4 linked regions of the Sus scrofa genome follow. The protein of the gene in region 2 interacts with the protein of the main gene of each other region in a pairwise test. Links are inferred from orthologs where the notes say so. Each region holds a gene or a part of one and is shown on either strand. Other genes may lie near its edges.

Region 1 (4,849 bases), on a different chromosome or scaffold from region 2:
GCCAGGTGTCCAAGCAAGGACCAAGGTTCCAGAGAGCCAGGGGCGAGGGGTGGGGGGGTGCTACCCAGTTGAGCCTTTGAACCAGGTCAGCCCGAGGAGGCAACCACAGCACCCGGCAGAGCCACCTGCCCCACCTGGCTGACATCCAGTTCCAGGTCCTCGCCGGCTTGCCGCAGCCCCTCACACTTCTGCTTCAGCTGGGCCCCCGCCTGACGCAGCCTCTGGTTTGTGGCCACGTAGTCCCGACTCTGCTGGTAGAGCTGCTCTCGCTGGGCCTCAGCATCTTCAGCCCTCCAAGAGGGGCCTGGGGAATCTGGGGACAGGACAAGGCAGCATCACTGCCCCCAGGTCACAGAGAGGACCCAATTCACCCCCCAAAGAAAGCAATGAACTGGAGGGGACAAGTCACAGAGGAGGCCTGACTTCACCATCCCACGGCCCTGCCTAGGGGTGAGCTCTATCCAGCTTCTGGTAACCCTGAAGCTGACAGCAGACTGGCTCTCATCTGTGCTCTCCGTGGCTGTGTGTGACACTCAGGGGGTCGGGAGGTGGCAAAGAGGGAACAGACATATATTTCCCAATGACTCTGCTTCCTAAAGGGTGTGCCAGGGGAGGAGCAGTGAGCACAAAAAAGCACAGATTTCAGGGCCACTTGGAGACATGTCAAGGTCCTCTCTGCTCTGCCTGGTCCCCTTGTCTATAAACAGGCCCAGAAACAGCAATTTGATTAAAAATCACTTTATTAGAGTTCCCATTGTGGCATAGCAGTAATGAGCCCAACTAGTATCCATGAGGGTGTGGGTTCAATCCCTGGCCTTGCTCAGTGGGTTAAGGATCCGGCGTTGCTGTGAGCTGTGGTGTAGGTCGCAGATGCTGCTCAGATCCCACATTACTGTGGCTGTGGCCTAGGCCAGCAGCTGCAAACTCCAATATAATCCCTAACCCAGGAATGTCCATTTGCTAAAGGTGCAGCCCTAAAAAAAGTAAAAATAAATCACTTTATCACCTGCTTTAGTAACAAGGTAGGACAGGCCAGACAGTGCACATGGAGGCCAAGGATGGTCCTTGACAGGAACACAGGCCAGCAGAGAAGCCCCCTCTCCCTAGAGTGAGCCCTGGCACTGCCCATTCCTCATGCCCTCAACCTCTGGATGCTGGGAACCTGGACCCATGATTTCTTTTTTTTTTCTTTCCTTTTTTTTTTTTTTGCTTTTTTAGGGCAGCACTCGTGGCATATGGAAGTTCCCAGGCTAGGGGTCGAATTGCAGCTGCAGCCGTCAACCTATGCCATAGCCACAGCAACACAGGATCCAAACCATCCATGTCTGCAACCTACAGGACAGATCACAGCAATGCTGGATCCTTAATCCACTGAGTGAGGCCATGGATCGAACCCGAACCCTCATGGATGCTAGTCAGCTTTGTTACCGCTGAGCCATGACGTGAACTCCTGGACCCGTGATTCATAAGGCTGGGATTCAAGCAGCCTCCGATGACCCAACTGTGAGCCAGGGATAAACATGGCTCCTGTTGCTTGGGCTGGCCTCTCAATCGCAACATTCCAGGTGATGGAAATATCCTCCAATGTAGCTATCCAATGCAGCAGCTGGCACAAGCGGGCTGCTGAGCACTTGAAATGTGGCCACGTGTAACAAAGAACTGAATTTTTTTCTTTTTTTTAATGGCTACACCAGTAGCATATGGAAGTTCCCAGGTCAGGGATCAGATCCAGGCTGCAGATGCTACTATGTCCTAGCTGTGGCAACGCAGAATCCTTTAACCCGCTGTGCTGGGCCAGGGATCAAACTTGAGTCTTGGCACTGCAGAGACACTGCCTATCCCACTGTGCCACAGCGAGAACTCCTATTCTCATCTTCTAGAGTCCCACAAGCCTTATACTGAATGTCAATACCCACTAGAATGGAGCAAGGCAGACACTTTAATCTTTTTGTTCGTTTTTCCACCTCAGTGCTTAGAACAGATTCCGGCCCATAATACGGTCTCAATGAAGGTTTGTTTCTTTGCTTTTTTTTTTTTTTTTAAGGGCCTCACTCGTGTCATATGGAAGTCCCCAGGTTAAGGGTCAAATCTGAGCTGCAGCTGCCCTCCTACCTCACAGCCACAGCAACACAGGATCCGAGCTGCGTCTGCGACCTACACTGCAACTCACAGCAACGCCGGATCCTTAATCCACTGAACGAGGCCAAGGATCAAACCGGCATCCTCATGGATCCTAGTTGGGTTCGTTAACCGCTGAACCACGAGGGGTCACTCCTCAATGAAAGTTTGTTGAATGAATAATGAACCTCATAGAGCAGAACACAAAATTCACCCTACAACTGTATGCCCAACCCTGAAGTCACGGATCTGCTTCCATCTTCTGAACAGGGGCGGACACACTTTTTCTGCAAAAGGCCAGATGCAAGTATTTTTGGCATTTCAGGGCTAGATAATTTCTGTCCTGAATACTGAACTCTGCCCTTCTGTCTTAAAAGCAGCCAGGTACTTTTCCCCACCCCTTCCTGCTGGCCTCTCGGGGTCGCCTCTCCCCTACCTTCAGGAGCCAGAGCGGTGAAGACGGGGTCCTCGGCAGGGGCCCCCCGCACGTCCTCCAAGATCTGCTCCACTGTAGGGGGCGCCGGGCGGGTGGGCAGCACCACGCGCTTCTTGGTCTTGGAGCTCATCCCGGTAGACCGGAGAAGGAAGTGTTGACGGGGTTGTTCCTCGCGCCCAACGAATTTCTACACACGCTCCAGTTCCCCGCTCCTGGCGAAGCCCTTCCTGCCCTGATCCTCCCAAGGGCTGAACAACACGGAGCCAGGGGCTTCAGCGTTCCCCTTCACTCAAGCCTCAGTTTCCCGCTGAGGCTGCTGCCGCCAGCGCCAACTCACCTGCACCGCCTCCGCGGCCGACCGACCATTTCCGCTTCCGGTCACGGTACAGTCCCACCCTACTCGCAAGAGACACACGCTTCCGGCCGGATCCTCCCCGGCTCGTGAAAGCCACGCCCCCTTAAAGAGGCCGCTCCCTCCAGGGTTCTGGTGCGATCGAAGAAACGATTGGACCAGAACCAGAAAGGATGAGACTTCAGCCTCTCCCCCGAGGGGTGGGCGCAGGGTCCTGTTCCCGGCTCTTCTCTCTGCCTAACAAAGCATCTGAAGCCCGGTTTTTTGCAAAAGGGAGACGCAGTCCTCAATCTACGTGGCTGTCGTAGCAACAAATTTACGGTGCAGTCTCTCACCACGTAGCGGGCCACCAGTTCCCAGCGAGGTGGCCAACCTCCGGGATCCCTCTCAAGGTTGCCTCTCCCTTGTCTAAAACCCCCTCCCTACCTGGGTGGGGCCGTAGCTCTGGAGGGTGATCTTGGCCCCCGCCTCTTGGCTAGGACTGAAGACCACCACAGAGCCCAAGGAGGGCGTTTTTAAACAGCTTTATATAATTTACATACTATAAAGTCCACCTGCTTAAAGTGTACAATTCAATGGTTTTGGAATATATATAGGAGAGAGACAGACAGAAAGACAGAGAAGTTGTGCAACCATCACCGCAGTCTAAAGCCAGAACATTCCCTCATCCTCATCACCCCATCCCTTAACAATCCACTATGTTTATGAATTTGTCTGTTCTTGGCGTATCACATTCATGGAATCACACAAGTGTGCCTTTCTCTGAGCATCGTGGTCTCAAGGTCCGTTCACATGGCAGCCAGTGTCGGTGCTTCTCTCTCTTTCATGACTGAGGGATGCTCCTGTGCATGAAGGGACCATATAATGTTTGCCCATCATCCAACAATGTTGTTTCCATATTTTGTCTGCTGTGAATCATGCTGCTGTGAACATTCTTACAAGTGTTGTGTGAATGTGTCTTTAGTTTTCTTGGGTACATACTTAGGAGCAGAACTGTTAGGTCATATGGTAACTCTATGTTTAACTGACTATGGACCTATTTCCCAAAGTGACTGCCCCAAGCTGGCATGTTTTGGGCATTTACTGTGTGCCAGGTGGGAAAATTACCTCTTGACCCTCAAGAGTATTTGGTGAGGCAGGTGCCAGACTTCATGCTGCTGCACAGGATGGCTACGGAGGCTCTGAGAAGGCAGCCAGGTGCCTCTGGACACGCAGCCTGGATTTGCAGAGCCAGACACCACTTCAGGCCTAACTCCAGAGCTGGGCAGAGCTGGGTGGGACTCTAGGCATGCAGGCAGGTCTAGGAGAGCAGATGGCTGTCTCCTCCCTTACCCACCTCCTGCTTCCAGTGGGTCCAGCTGCAGCCCTAGACAGAACCTGAGTCCCTTGAAGGCTTGAGGCTGCCCAACCCAAGCCTGGTAGCCAAGCAGATTCTCAGATGACCAGGGGCACTGGAAGGGTGTGTGTCTGGACTCCTGCTACAAACCAGGACTACCCCCTTGGAGTCCAAGTGAAGCCCATGGTCAAGGCAAAACCAGCCTCCACTCCTTTGTGGAAACCACCTTACGGCTCTGAAAATCAGAAGGAACAGGTTGCCACCCTATTGATGTATGTGAGGACAGACTAGATACTTTTTTTTTTTTTTTTTTTGGTCTTTTTAGGGCCGCACCTACAGCATACAGATGTTCCCAGGCTAGGGGTCAAATCAAAGCTGTAGCCACTGGCCTACACGCCACAGCCACAGCAATGCCAGATCCAAGCCACATCTGCAACCTACACCAAAGCTCATGGCAACCACAGCCAGATTCTTAACCCAATGCGGGAGGCCAGGGACTGAACCTGTGTCCTCATGAATACTAGTTAGATTCGTTTCCCTTGAGCCATGATGGGAACTGCCAGAGTAGAGACTCTTAATAGTTCCATAAACACCCTTTTCCATCCTT
Region 2 (4,713 bases):
GGAGTTCCCACTGTGGCGCAATGGAAACAAATCCGACTAGTAATCATGAGGTTTCGGGTTCAATCCCTGGCCTAACTCAGGGGATTAAGGATCTGGCGTTGCTGTAGCTGTGGCATAGGCTGGCGGCTACAGCTCCAATTTGACCCCTAACCTGGGAATTTTCATATGCTGCAGGTGCAGCTCTTTTTCAACAGCCCCCCCCCCAAAAAATGGCACAAATGAACCTATACACAGAACAGAAACAGACTCACAGACCATAGAGAACAGACTTGTGCTTGCCAAGGAGGAGAGGGAGGGAGTGGGATAGACTGGGAGTTTTGGGTTAGTAGATGCAAACTGTTACACTTAGAATGGAAAAGAAATAAGGTCCTACTGTATAGGAATGTATAACTGGGTCATTTTCCTGTAAGACAGAAAGTGGCACTATACTTTAAAAAATAAAAAAGTAAAAATTATATTCTTTTGATTTAACCATTTAAATGTAGCATAGTACAGTCTTAGTCAAATGACATTCTTCAAAATGACACACTGCTGATGGCGTAGGGGTGATGTCTCTTTTCCTGTTTTTTGTAAGGAGCACTTCTAATTGCAAAGAAGTTGACCAAGCCACCAAAGGAAGGTCAAGGACAAAGTCCACAGCTTAATGGCATCAACTTCCCAAACATATGAGTGGGGCAAAGGTAGAAAAATAAAGTGTTGGGAGTTCCCATCGTGGCGCAGTGGTTAACGAATCCGACTAGGAACCATGAGGTTGCGGGTTCGGTCCCTGGCCTTGCTCAGTGGGTTAACGATCCGGCGTTGCCGTGAGCTGTGGTGTAGGTTGCACACGCGGCTCGGATCCCGAGTTGCTGTGGCTCTGGCGTAGGCCGGTGGCTGCAGCTCTGATTAGACCCCTAGCCTGGGAACCTCCATATGCCGAGGGAGCGGCCCAAAGAAATAGCAAAAAGACAAAAAAAAAAAAAAAAAGAAAAAGAAAGTGTTTAATTGAGAGAGGTACAGGAGGTACTCTCAAATCCTTTAAGGAAAAGGAGCTGAGTTGTGGCAGCTGTGACTGGCAAGCACTATGAAGTAGTTAAAGCTTTCTTTCTGAGGCAGACTGTAGCAGGAGGCAATGTTAAGGGCAGGTCTAACCCCTAAAACTAATATGGTAACTTAGGCACCCTTTCTATTACTATTCATTCCCAGGCTATGTGCCACGGCCAGAAGAACCAAAACACTCTGATGAAACAGCTGTTACATGCTTCCCTCTTCCTCTCCCAGTAAATTTCCCTCCAAAGGCCCCTGAATATTCCTTGATTTCCACCAGTGTGCCATGCCTAGCTCATTAAAATAAAATGGCACATGTCTACATCCCTGGCATATATATGCTTTTATCTTAGGTAGGAAATGGAAATAATGATCTTTCCTTCTTCTGGGTTCAGTTCAAGAACCAGGAACCAAGTTGTCTGTTGTGCCCTTCCCAAATCAACTTTTATGTGCTAATTCACTGAAGATAGAGTATAACTAATTATCATTTGAAGGCATCTATTTGACAGGCCTGGAGCAGTTACCATCTGCTGCTAAGGTATCCCCTACAGAGGCAAGAAAAAAGTGTCCTCACCCTTTCTGTCTGATGGTGGTAACAGAGAATGAATGGGGGGATACTGGGAAAAATATTTTGCAACTCACAAAAAACCCTGTGAACAGTAAATGCTTGATTTACTCCAAACAATTTGTTTTTAATTTTACTACCAGATTCTTTTGGGCCTGGGGGGCTGCCAAGTGCAGCAGCCTGATGTGGGATCTCAGTTCCCAGACCAGGGATCAAACCTGGGCTGCAGCAGTGAAAGCACTGAGTCCTAACCAGAGATCTAGGCCACCAAAGACCTCCCTCAAAGAAGAATTTGAGTTTACAAGGCAAGTACTGAAAAATTATTCCCCTACACGCTTGTCCTCTGATTGATTCCACTTGTAAAAGCATATGGGCTAAGTCTAATTAAAGGCAAGCCAATAGGAAAAGTTATCATTTGACTCCTTTAAACCCAACACAGGTGGAGGTTATCTCTCCTAGATCATCAGCCCGTTCTAACTCGTGATGCTTATTAAGTTGATGCTTCATTGCAATAACAGGCAGTTCCCAACTAATTTAAGTCCAGTATTGAGTGAGACTCCACCAGTTCCTGCACTAGGTAGGAGTCAGGAAGCCTTCTTCTCCAAATCATCCCATATTGTACAATCCTGAAAGCCAAAAATATATGTATGATAATAATCAGTATTTAATACTAGGAAAGGATACTCTACGGAAATAAAAAAAAAAAAAAAGGTGCTTCATCTAAAAAATAACAAGGTACCATCCTTCTTGGATGTAGACCCTGCAGGACTGAATTTTGGAGAAATGCTGAGTGGAAAGTGCAAAGGCGTTCGGAGTCTGCTTACTTTTGTCCTTGACATCCTTCCTTTGGTCACCATTTTCAGAACAGCACTAGAAGGAGAGCAGGTGTGACAAACACATTAAGACTGAAGCAATAAGTGAAATTCATACAGGGTTCCCAGAGGGCATCCACGGGAGGACCCCAAGGTTCCAGACCCCTCCCCCCTGGAGACTTCCTGAGGTGCGATCTGATGCAGGTTCCAAAAAGGGCTAGCTCCTTGAGGCCACCACAGCCACCTCCCCAGAAAGATCTGTGTCATCTCATCGGTATCGCCACAGCCACTGCATTGGGATTACCTCTCCTGAGAGGTCTATGCCACCTCACTGGGCCACCAGTGTCCCCTCCCGCGGCCACTAGGGCCCCCTCACCGGGGTTGCTGGCGCTTCGCCGATCTCGCTGGCCGGGAGCATCCTGCCTCCGCGCGAGTCCTCGGTTCCATGTGCAGCCAGCGTGGTCAGTGGACCCTGGCTCCGGCCAGCGGCTAGACAGCGGCTGAACCTTTCGAGACCTTAGCGTTGGACGCCACGGCAACTTCCTCTGCCGTCTCTCTGGTTTCTTCCTTTCTTTCCAGAGAGGCCCTTCTCGCGCAGTTGCCGGTCTTGCGCGGTGGCGCCCCCTGCCGGCTTGGATCCGGATCGGACGCTCTGGAAGAAGAAAAGGGGGCGAGCAAAGGCAGTCCTTGTCATTCTAAGTAAAACCTCCTTCACTGCTTTGGAAACATTAATGATGGAGATTCAAAGTATCCTTCCTTCCACACTGTAAATTCATTATGAATCATTTCAACTTATATTTTAGAGGATATCCCAGATGTTCTGAGAGTGTGAGGGAGCTTGTTGACAAGTAGTAATGTAATTTGGTTGGGTGGTTTAATCGCATAATTTCCAATGTCAGTATCTTTGGATCATTCTTTTAAAGCTAATCAGATTTAACTACAAGTTACACTTCAACTTCCTACCTGAAGGGTGCAGATCTGATTGTAAACATTCTGGGAGCAGAACAGAGGGAAAGGACTCAGCATCTAATATATACTTCAGATCAAAGTCTGTACTTTGCCAGGGAGGAGGACCAGGACTGGCAGCATGATATAGGTAGAGAATTCAGGGATGCGACAACTTCAAAAATAAACATGTAAAGTGGTACCATTGAGACTAAAACTAACAGAGAAAGGGAGAAAAAGCAACCCTTAGAGAAAACAGAACCGATTCAATGAGAACATTGTATTTATTTATTTATGTCCTGAGATATGACGCCACTGCGACTATAAAACAATCACGAGCTACTATTTTGTTTTTACTTTTTGGCCACAATAACGGTAATTCCCCGGCTAGGGATTGAACTCACCATAGCAGTAACCGGAGCCACAGCAGTGACAAGGCCGGATCCTTATCCCACTGAGCAACCAGGGAACTCCAACAGTCTACTATTTTATTTTATTTTATTTTTATTTTGTCTTTTTCGGGCCACACCCACAGCATATGGTGGTTCCCAGGCTAGGGGTCCAATCGAAGCTGTAGCCGCTGGCCTACGCCACAGCCATAGCAACACGGGATCCAAGCCACATCTGTGACCTACACCACAGCTCACGGCAACCCGGATCCTTAAGTCACTGAGCAAGGCCAGGGATCAAATCCCGTTCTCATGGGTACTAGTCGGGTTCCTTAACCACTGAGCCATGACAGGCACTCCTTATTTTATTTTTTTGTCTTTTAGGGCTGCGCCTAAGGCATATGGAGGTTCCCAGGCTAGGATCAAAATGGAGCTATAGCCACTGGCCTACACCACAGTCACAGCAACACAGAGTCCGAGCCGCATCTACGACCTACACCACAGCTCAGGGCAAATCTGGATCCTTAACCCATTGAGCATATGGAGCATATGGAGTTCCCAGGCCAGGGAGTCAGATCTTAACCCACCGAGTGAGGCCAGGTATTGAACTTGCATCCTTACAGACACAATGTCAGGGCAGCCAAAGTACAATGTAACCATATTGGACGGATAAAATAAAAGAAAGGCAAGTGTGGTAGTGGTGGGGTTGGGTGGAGGAGAACAAAAGCTAAACCCTCATTTTCCATTAAGTGAAGTTAAGAGGTAATACCTAAAATTGATACGTCAAGAAATAGAAATATAGGCAGTTCCCACTGTGGCTCAATGGGTTAAGAACCTGACTAGTGTCCATGAGGATGAGGGTTCGATCCCTGGCCTCACTCAATAGATTAAGGATCTGTGTTGTTGCAAGCTGAGGCACAGATCGCAGATATAACTCAGATCTGGTATTCCTGTGGCATAGGCTGGCAGCTGCAGC
Region 3 (4,719 bases), on a different chromosome or scaffold from region 2:
GTCCCTGCCCTTGCTCAGTGGGTTAACGATCCGGCGTTGCCGTGAGCTGTGGTGTAGGTTGCAGACGCGGCTCGGATCCCCCGTTGCTGTGGCTCTGGCGTAGGCCGGTGGCTACAGCTCCGATTCGACCCCTAGCCTGGGAATCTCCATATGCCGTGGGAGCGGCCCAAGAAATAGCAGCAACAACAACAACAAAAAGACAAAAGACAAAAAAAAAAAAAAAAAAAAAACCAAACAGAAAACAAAAAACAAATGCCAGCTACAGTTAGCCTGTAGTTTTCCATGCTATCGTCTCACCTGGGGCCAGGTGGCAGTCAAGCCTTTGAATAAAGCAGGCATTCTCTTGGTCCTCATGGGTGCCTCTGGCTAGCTTGGCTTTATTTGAGTTTTCAACCTCATCTAATCCAATTCTCTTATTGTGTAGAGAAGTGAAAACCAAGGACCAGAGAGGAGAAAGGTCTCGCCCAAGGTCACACAGCAAGTTAGAAGTGGTGCTGGCTGAAGAGGACTGACCACTCAGGCCTCCTTCTTTCCATCTTCTCAAAGAGAGCAGGTTAGACTTCGGTTCCCGCTTGCTCCCAGGCTAGAAGCCCTTGTGCAGTGAACCTGCACGTCTCTATGCTATGGTCCTGCAGCCCCTGCTCTCATTAAACTATGTAGGTTGAAAATGTTCTCAAATCAGGTTGTGATGATGGTTGTACAGGTATAAATGTAATAAACCCGCTGAATGAAAAAAACATTAGAAAAAACAAAAACAAAAAGTAAGTAGCTGCTCTGGAAGTAGTGTTTCCTCCAAATCCTGGCACAGCAGGCTAACCCAGGAATGTCAGATTCAAACTCCCTCCCCTCACCAGCCTCATAAGCAGCTGCCCTCTGCTCACCTAGACCTTTGGCTTTCTTCTTTTCCTGGGGCCTTCGGTGGTCTCGGTCTACGACCTCGTCACTTGCCCGGATCTCGTCTGCGCCCGGCTCCCCCTTGGAGGGCTCCTTCTCACCATTGACTACTGGGGTCTCTGGCTCAGGCTCCCCATTCCTTGAGGCATAGGTCCGGGACTTCTCTGCATCTTCAGGTTCACCAGGCTCACCCTGTGCCCCATCTTCGCCTGGGCCCCCCTGATTGTTGTCTATACAGTATGTACTGAGGATGTCTTCCAATTGGCGGCTCAACTCCTCTGAGACATCACGGAGGGCCCCAGTTTTGGCTTGTGCTCCTGCAGCAGGAGGGATGAGGGGCAGAGTCAGAAATAAGACCATTATGCCACTGGCTGGGATTTTTTCAGGCCCAAACTTACTAGTTTGGGTTAAATGTTACCTAACTTCTTTAAACCTCAGTTTTATTACTGATAAAACTATTTCTCACCTCTGCCCAACCATGCTTGTTATAAGAGAAATCAAGTAAGGAGACCACCCAACACAGAGGTGGCATCATGTAGCAGGAACTCAAGGTCTAGTCCACCTGCAAATGTCACTTCTTGCTATTAAAAAAGTTCCAAGAGTTCCCGTTGTGGTGCAGCAGAAACGAATCTGACTAGTATTCATGAAGACTCAGGTTCGACCCTTGGCCTCACTTAGTAGGTGAGGGATCCTGTGTTGCTGTGACTGTGGTGCAGGCTGGCAGCTGTAGCTCCAATTCGACTTGAGCCTGGGCACCTCCATATGCCTAGGGTGGGGCCCTAAGAAACAGAAAAAAAAGAAAAAAAAAAAAAAGTTCCAGAAATGCCTCAAATAGGAATAGCAGTTACCCACTGCTGAAAGTGGTGTTTTTGATTTGCTGGTTGGGTGCCTCATTTGACTGCCAACCTGACTTAATCCTGTCAGAAGCTTCTCTCAGGAGAGTTCTGTCCCTGTGCTTAGGGTGGGAGGCTCTATCAACTCCCCAGCGCAGAGTGGGCACTCAAGGACTCAGTGGTGTCCTCCCCTCATTCTACATTTCCTCCCTTCTGGATAAACAGTGGCCTTGGCTTCTAACCCCAGAAGCTAGACTGACGCACCATAAACTCCTCCCCCTGCCCATTGGAAAAGCAGAGCTGGCACACACCCTCAGCCTTCCCTGGAGCCTGGCTGGTGGAACCTTCAGCTTCTGTCGTGGGAGCAGACTGGCTGGGCCGCCCCTGGCCTCCCTCTGGTCCTGCTTCCGGTTGCCCCGGGGTGTTTTTGGGGTTGGAAGTGTGGCCAGATTGCTTGGCAGCCCCATTCTTTTTGTCTTGGTTCTTCATTGTTGTTTGCAACGTTAGGTTATGAGCAGAACCTATAGAAACAAATACACTTGCTATTTTCCAGACTTTAAACAATTCTTCGCAGCCTGGATCTGATATCTCCACACCGGACCCGCAAAGCTTCTTAAACCGACCGGCCTTCCTCGGATGGGAGCCAGTGGGGCTCCCTATCTCTGGTCGGTCAGGGAAGTCTGGTGTGCCCAACAGCAGGGGAGAGGAGGCCTCCTTTTTCCCCGAAGCTACTTCCCCGGCACAACCCAGCCCTCTCACCACAGCCCGTGCGCCGGACAGGCTCAGGCCCAGGGACTGACGTGGCGGGACGCTGGATTCCCGGTTCCTCCCCGCCCCCCAGGCCCCACGTGTGCCCACCCCCCCGCGCGCGCGCGCAGCCACCCACGCCCCGCGCGCCCTCCAGCCGCGCGCTCCGCCCGCGCATGCGCACAGGCCTCGGCCCCTGCACTCCAGCCCGAGTCCTCGTGCGGAATCGGCGTAATTCCCTGAACCGTCCGAAGGCGTCGGGCCCCGGGCCCTCTGCTTGCCTTGTACCCCTAACCGACGCAATACGCACCCCACCGCCGACGTCCCGACGGCTTCTCCTGCTCTGGCCTCTCACCGGAAACCCTGGGTAACTGCTGCCGGCAGAGCCGCCTGCTCGCGCCGCGGCCAATCAATAGCCCGCGCTCTCGCGGGGCTTGCTGGGAAAGTTGAAGCGAAGGCGGCCTCTGAGGCGGGTGAGTTGGGAAGGCGGAGTGGGGGGGTGGAGGGACAGAAAGGACTACATGTCCCTCCATGCACCGGGCTGATCCCGACTCCCAAGCTGCAACAGGGCTTTCGTTCTTGGAGCCCAGACCCAGGAGGTCCGAAAGCAGCCAGTCATTCTGCACTGGTACTCACGTCAACCTCCTTTCCATCACGCAGAAGTTATGATTCAGCTCCCAGAGCCTTGCGCCTGGCTGCTTTTTCCCCGCACACCTCAACCCCGTCCTTCCCTCCTGCTGAGGATATCTGTGACTATCTAGGAACTCTGAGGACGAGGGATAAAATACGGTGCTGGACATCAGATCTGTATTCCTTCCAGTCCTAATTTCATCACTAATTTGTTATGTGACCGGGCATTCTTTTCATTCCCAGAGCCTCGATTTCCGTATTCCTATAGAAAATTTTAATAACAGTAGTTCTTTGAATGCTAGCTTTCCCAGTAACTACTCCAGATAAATACTGTAGTATTTGTTACTCTCAATTTACACCTGTTAGGTGATTGTCCAAGGTCACATAGCTATTGACTGATTAGAGCAGTTTCAAAGCCAGGAAGTCTGGCACCCATCTCAACTACTGGACTACCCTGCTTCTTACTCAGGAAGAAATAATCACCATGATGCGCTTTCCTTGAGGGTGAGTCAAGGTAACTTGGAAAAGTAAATACTTAATTTCCCATCCCCATTTCCACCTTGAGTCCCTCTTTGGAAGGTGCTGAGGCCCTGTAAGGGGAAGTTTGGTTTCAGCAGATTCCTGAGCCTTTTCTTTGGCCCACTCCTACCAAGTCCCAGTTGCACTGGTGCTAAAGGGGAAAAATAGCCAAGCTTTTCTCAAAATGTGAAATCACAATTCTTTTTCCATTTGTCTGTAGACAACAGAATAAAACACAGCAACCTATGTGCTTGGATTTTTTTTTTTTTTTTTTTTTTTTTTAAGGGCTGCACCTGCGGCATATGGAAGTTCCCAGGCTAGGGGTCTAATCAGAGCAGTGGCTGCCAGCCTGCACCACAGCCATAGCAACGCCAGACCCGAGCCACATCTGTGACCTACGCTGCAACTCATGGCAATGCCAGATTCTTAACCCACTGAGTGAGGCCAGGGATCGAACCTGTGTCCTCATGGATGCTAGTTGGATTCTTTACCTCTGAGCCACAACAGGAACTCCTGTGCTTGAAATTTAATGCCTAAATGGTTTTGCTTTTATTTCCTGTCAATCCTCCTCATCCCCTTGGCCTTTTAAAAAAAATTATTAAAGCGTAGTTGATTTACAATGTTTCGTCCCCCTCTGCCTTTTTTGTTCCAGCTATACTTTTACTGTTTCCAGGATTTCCCAGGTTTTTGCAGGTGCCATACCATTGTCGATGAAAAAAATGTTACCTGCCATATCAGTAAACAAAGGATGTTGCAGCCATCAAGCCATCACATTACAGCTGCCCAAAGGTGAGCCCTGGGGGAACTCAGGGTAGAAACAAATTGCCTGCCATCTAGCAGTCTGTGCTGCAGTCACCCTCCCGCCCAAGCCCATAGAGCACCCTGAGGAGACTCAGGATGAAAAAGCACCTGATAGTGGCCCCAGTTAGCTGAGTTGCATATCAAAGGAAATAAGCCCAGACTCTTGCATCTTCCCATACACAGAAAACTGCTAAATTCCTTAACTTGAAGTATCAGGTTTTCGTTTCTTTTCTTTTTCTTTTTGTCTTTTAGGGCCACACCCTCGGCAAACGGAGGTTCCCAGGCTAGAGGCTGA
Region 4 (4,563 bases), on a different chromosome or scaffold from region 2:
GAACTAGAGACTTTCATACTAAGTGAAGTTAAGTCAGAAACAGAAAGCCAAATACCATATGATATCACTTATATCTGGATTCTAATATATGGCACAAATAAAACTTTCCACAGAAAAGAAACTCATGGACTTAGAGGAGAGACTTGTGGTTGCCAAGGGGGAGGGGGAGGGAGTGGGATGGACTGGGAGTCTAGGGTTAATAGGTGTAAACTATTGCATTTGGAGTGGATAAGCAATGAGATCCTGCTGTATAGCACAGGGAATTATATCTAGACACTTATGATGGAACATGATGGAGGATAATGTGAGAAAAATAATATATACATACATATATATGACTGGGTCTCTCTGCTGTACAGTAGAAACTGGCAGAACACTGTAAATAAACTATAGTGAAAAAATAAAAATCATAAAATAAAAAAATTTATATTGATTAAAAAATAATTATGCTTAAACTAATGTTTCAATATTCTATTTTACTTAAAAAGTAGTTGTGCAACAATTACACATTAATTAACTCAATTAATGCCAATACACAATCTTTTTAAAGGTGCTTAAAAGATCTTGGAAATTATCTTCAAGCTGGCTTACTATAAAACATAGTTACTGTTGAAACAAAGTTTGTCAGAATGCTGATTCAACATGACTTTAAAAGAAATTTACATTTTCATAATCAAAAACATTTTTAGGAGTTCCCATTGTGGCTCATTGGGTTAAGAACCTGACTAGTATCCATGAAGATGCCAGTTCGATTCCTGCCCTCAGTCCCTGGCCTCACTCAGTGGGTTAAGGATCTGGCATTGCCCCCAGCTGTGGTGTAGCTTGCAGACAAGGTTTGAATTTGGTGTTGCTGTGGCTGTGGTGAAGGTCGGCAGCTGCAGCTCCGATTGACCCTTAGCCTGGGCACGTCCATAAGCTGCAGGTGTGGCCTTAAAAAAACCTTTTTTTAGAAGTAACATTAATTTATTTAACTAGTAAGGCTGTATAAGTTTAGGAAAATGATACATGATTGTGCATGCTTGTATTATATTTAACACTGCCAAACAGAGAAAAGACTTAATCGCCAGAATTTTCCATCAATTATGTCATCTTGGGTTCTTAAAATGTTTCTGCAAGATGTTTTATTAAAGTCTAGCACTTTAAATGTATCAATGTAACTAAGCAGGGGCTCCTCTGCTTGAGGCATAGAAAGCCAAACTTGGCAGAGGGTATTTGCAGCAAAGTAAATGTTCATTTGCAAGGCACCAAGCAAAGGAGAGGAATACAGGTCTCAGATCCACTCCTTCTTGGTCTTTTAGTTAGGGATGTTTTAAAGGGGAAGAAGAAGCTGGAATTAATCATTGTCTTGTGACATTCCTTTATCGTGATTTCAGGAGTCAAGAGGTCTCTGGTTTAGGATTCTCTGGCCAGGTGGTCTGGCTCGGAGGCCTGTGAGCTCATCTTGCCTTGGAGAAACTACCTGAGTTTTTACCTTAATGATGATATAACAATAGCAATTTTAGTCGTCTGACTCTGGCTGATTAGGGTTCAGCTAGAACAGGATTGAGGTCAGAGGGGACAAGAAAGGAATTGAGATCAGAGGAGACAAGCAAGGGAATAGTTTCAGGGAAGGAGAGATAAATCATTAATTGGTAAGGAAGCTCAATTTTAGGGGGGGCTTGGTTCATCAGAAATTCAGTTTTCTTATTTTCTGGGAATTTAAGAATATTCAATTTATATATGTGCTTATTTTCTCTGAGCTAATCAGAACAGTGCTCCTTTAATTTACATCTTTCAGATATGGGAAAAGATATCAGATGCAGTCTTTCTAAATTACTGAGTATTTTTGTCTTTATATTCCAATAAACATTCTTTATTCCTCTTATTTTGGGGCAGAAAATATGATTATGTTTGCTTTATTATTTAACCATGATCTATGTTGTTATTATGAAACTGTAGTTTCATTAATTCATGAAATTTGGTATCAAGAAAGAGGCAGCAGTATACCACCCCTCAAAAAGACAATTAGTCAAAATGCAAGATTTAACAGTCCCATTAGAAATATGACTAATATTTGTTCTTTTTTTTAGCCTATGTTGTAGGCCTAACTCACTACCAATCCTCTGTGTTGAAAAGAATTTCTTCTCATAGTTTCCCTTCCATGTATAACCAGTCAGGGCAAAGCATAAATATTAGCTAAACTGAGATTTTAAGTAGGAAATACACAAACCATTAGAATGAGCTAAAGCAGGCAATGATCTTAGCAATGGTGCAAGGAGAAAGAAGGGGAGCCTTCAGAAATCAACTCTCCTGTATTTCACTTCATAAACCTAAGTATATGAGGTATTCAGTCATGCTAATATATAATTTTACATTCATTAGAATGTAAATTTATGGTAATTTTATTATTTAAATGGTTAAATGGATTGGTTCAACGACACAAATGTGGGCTTCAGGGCTTAACGCCTCTATTTTACAAACAATGCTTGCAAATGGAAATTACGGTTTCTCTGCAGTTTCCAAGAGACTTTGTAGGGCTGTGGTTTCTCGAAAACTGCTGTTGAAGAAGAGCCTAGGCTAATGAGCGATTTTGAAAAGGCACTTCTTTTTTTCCCGATGCCCTTCACAGACTTGAAGTAAAACGTTATCTTGGCAAAACACGGTAGCCAAAAAAGAATCCCAAACTTCTCTACCATTAAAAGATCTGTGGTACTCGAGCAAGGATGCAAACACAAAGGTGTAAGGCTTCACTACTATTTGTTTTAACCCCCACTTTTGAAAAACAATACATTTGTCAATTGCCCACCTCCTTACTGTGAGGGTCCCGTGAGCTTCTACACGCAAAGGGCTTACAACAGTAGCCTGCACGTAGGCCATTAGCAGTCTTTGGCCCCCTCCCATTCCCGGCAACACAGGCCGGGTTCCCGTTGCCCCCTGGCGGCTGGGGCCGACTTCCGCCTCCCACACCCAGCGCTGCCGCGGCAGCCCGCGTGGCTCTGCTACGTCACATCCGGCCCTTGCGATTCGGGGTTGCGGAACCCGCGCGATGAAGTGCGTGTTTGTTACTGTAGGGACCACCAGCTTTGACGACCTGATTGCGTGTGTATCGGCGCACGACAGTCTGCAAGTGAGTGGGGGAGGCAGGCGGGCGGCGGTTGGGCTCGCCGCGCTGCGCTCGCCGCTCGCTGCTCGCCGCCCGCCGCCGCCAGCCTGACCGCTAACCTCGGTAACCTTGCCTGACCGCGGTCCTCGGGAAGAACCCCCAGCCGCTCGACCTCAGGTGCCGACGCCCCTCGGCCGGCTCCTCCCCGCGCCCAGCTGGGCCCTCCTCCCACTCCCCCGCTCCTCAGGGTCCTCCGCCTCCTCTCCCCGTTCCCCGCCGCCTTCCCGGGCCGCTCCTCCCCGTCCTTTCTCCGGCTCCTCCTTTTCCCCGGCTTTTCCCCTCCGATTCTCCGCCTCCGCCTCTCCGTCCTCCGGCTTCGCCCCTCCTTCTAGCGGCTCCGCCTCTCCGAGCCGGGGCTCCGACCCGCCTCTCGGGCCCTTGCCCGCCTCGCCGGCCGCTCCTCAGGGCCGCTCGGGGCCGCGCGGTCGACGCGCTCCGTCAGGCCCGGCCCGACCAGTTCAGCCTGGCGCGCCGCCCCGTCCTGCCCTCGTCCGGCCCCGCCGCGTTCGGGCCCTGGCGCCTTTCCTTCCCTAAGGCGCCCTCGCGACCGGTATCCCCGCAGCGCCCTCTCAGGGCGTGAGGTTCGCGCAGTTCCATCTGTGGGACCACGACGAAGCTGTTCCTTGGTCTCCCCCTAGCTCGCGACACCTTTTTCAGAGCCTTTGCCTGGTCTCTTAGTTCTTGCGGGCCCATTTCTCTCACGATGTGGTGAGCTGGGGCGTCTAGATCCCTCAGGGCTAGCGAGGTGCCCTGTCGGGCCCGGAATCGGGGAAGAAGGAAAACTAACACTTCGGCTCCAGTTCGACTCTTTGGCCGCCCGTGCTCCGATTTTGGAGTTGGTTGCCATAGTTGCTGTTTTTACAGTCGCCTGTTTTAAAAGGGTCCCTTTTTCTTTTTTCCCGTTTCAGATAATCAAGAGCCTTGGTTACAACCGACTTGTCCTACAAATAGGTAGAGGAAAGGTGGTACCTGAACCATTCAGTACTGAGTCATTTACTCTGGATGTTTACAGGTACAAGGATTCATTGAAAGAAGACCTTCAGAAAGCAGATCTTGTTATTAGCCACGCAGGTAAAGGGCCTTAGAATCGCCCGGTTTGGTTTTTGATAGAAAATAACTAAGAACAGCGATTTGAACCTTTGTGACGTAAAATAAAATCACTAGTGAAACTCACTTTAGTCCTTCTGAGTGTAACACCGATTTCAGTCTAACAACTGAGAACATTCATTCGTGGAGAGAATTTATCGTTTCTGAGTGATTGCGGGATGGGAAATCAATCGCTGAAGCCCAGGTTTACAGTCAAACTCTAAACACAGAGAGGCGAAATAATTTGTGCAATGACATGTGTAAAGAGTTGTCAGTTGAAATTAGTATTTGGGCTTAGATCTGCAGGAATGTTCAGGCAGCTAATTTGTTGGATT

What was found. The genes of interacting proteins can lie anywhere in the genome.
Region 1: the proteins of RINT1 (region 2) and C2H19orf25 interact in binary tests that used the Homo sapiens proteins (3 or more experiments, as listed by UniProt). The link is inferred for Sus scrofa from reciprocal best matches to the Homo sapiens genes RINT1 and C19orf25.
Region 3: the proteins of RINT1 (region 2) and TXLNA interact in binary tests that used the Homo sapiens proteins (3 or more experiments, as listed by UniProt). The two-hybrid records come from large-scale screens. The link is inferred for Sus scrofa from reciprocal best matches to the Homo sapiens genes RINT1 and TXLNA.
Region 4: the proteins of RINT1 (region 2) and DCX interact in binary tests that used the Homo sapiens proteins (3 or more experiments, as listed by UniProt). The two-hybrid records come from large-scale screens. The link is inferred for Sus scrofa from reciprocal best matches to the Homo sapiens genes RINT1 and DCX.

What each region holds. Positions count from the first base shown.
Region 1 is NC_010444.4:76,997,072-77,001,920, reverse strand, and holds the start of C2H19orf25 (UPF0449 protein C19orf25 homolog), read right to left. Parts: upstream 2,940-4,849; 5' UTR 2,685-2,939; coding exon 2,555-2,684; intron 314-2,554; coding exon 87-313; 3' UTR 1-86.
Region 2 is NC_010451.4:105,391,118-105,395,830, reverse strand, and holds the start of RINT1 (RAD50-interacting protein 1), read right to left. Parts: upstream 2,979-4,713; 5' UTR 2,822-2,978; coding exon 2,780-2,821; intron 2,462-2,779; coding exon 2,416-2,461; intron 1-2,415. UniProt on the Homo sapiens protein: Involved in regulation of membrane traffic between the Golgi and the endoplasmic reticulum (ER); the function is proposed to depend on its association in the NRZ complex which is believed to play a role in SNARE assembly at the ER.
Region 3 is NC_010448.4:88,658,271-88,662,989, reverse strand, and holds the start of TXLNA (alpha-taxilin), read right to left. Parts: upstream 2,940-4,719; 5' UTR 2,785-2,939; intron 2,554-2,784; exon of another isoform or gene 2,487-2,553; intron 2,249-2,486; 5' UTR 2,217-2,248; coding exon 2,039-2,216; intron 1,212-2,038; coding exon 882-1,211; intron 1-881. UniProt on the Homo sapiens protein: May be involved in intracellular vesicle traffic and potentially in calcium-dependent exocytosis in neuroendocrine cells.
Region 4 is NC_010461.5:91,641,634-91,646,196, forward strand, and holds the start of DCX (neuronal migration protein doublecortin), read right to left. Parts: upstream 2,940-4,563; 5' UTR 2,786-2,939; intron 388-2,785; exon of another isoform or gene 329-387; intron 1-328. UniProt on the Homo sapiens protein: Microtubule-associated protein required for initial steps of neuronal dispersion and cortex lamination during cerebral cortex development. May act by competing with the putative neuronal protein kinase DCLK1 in binding to a target protein.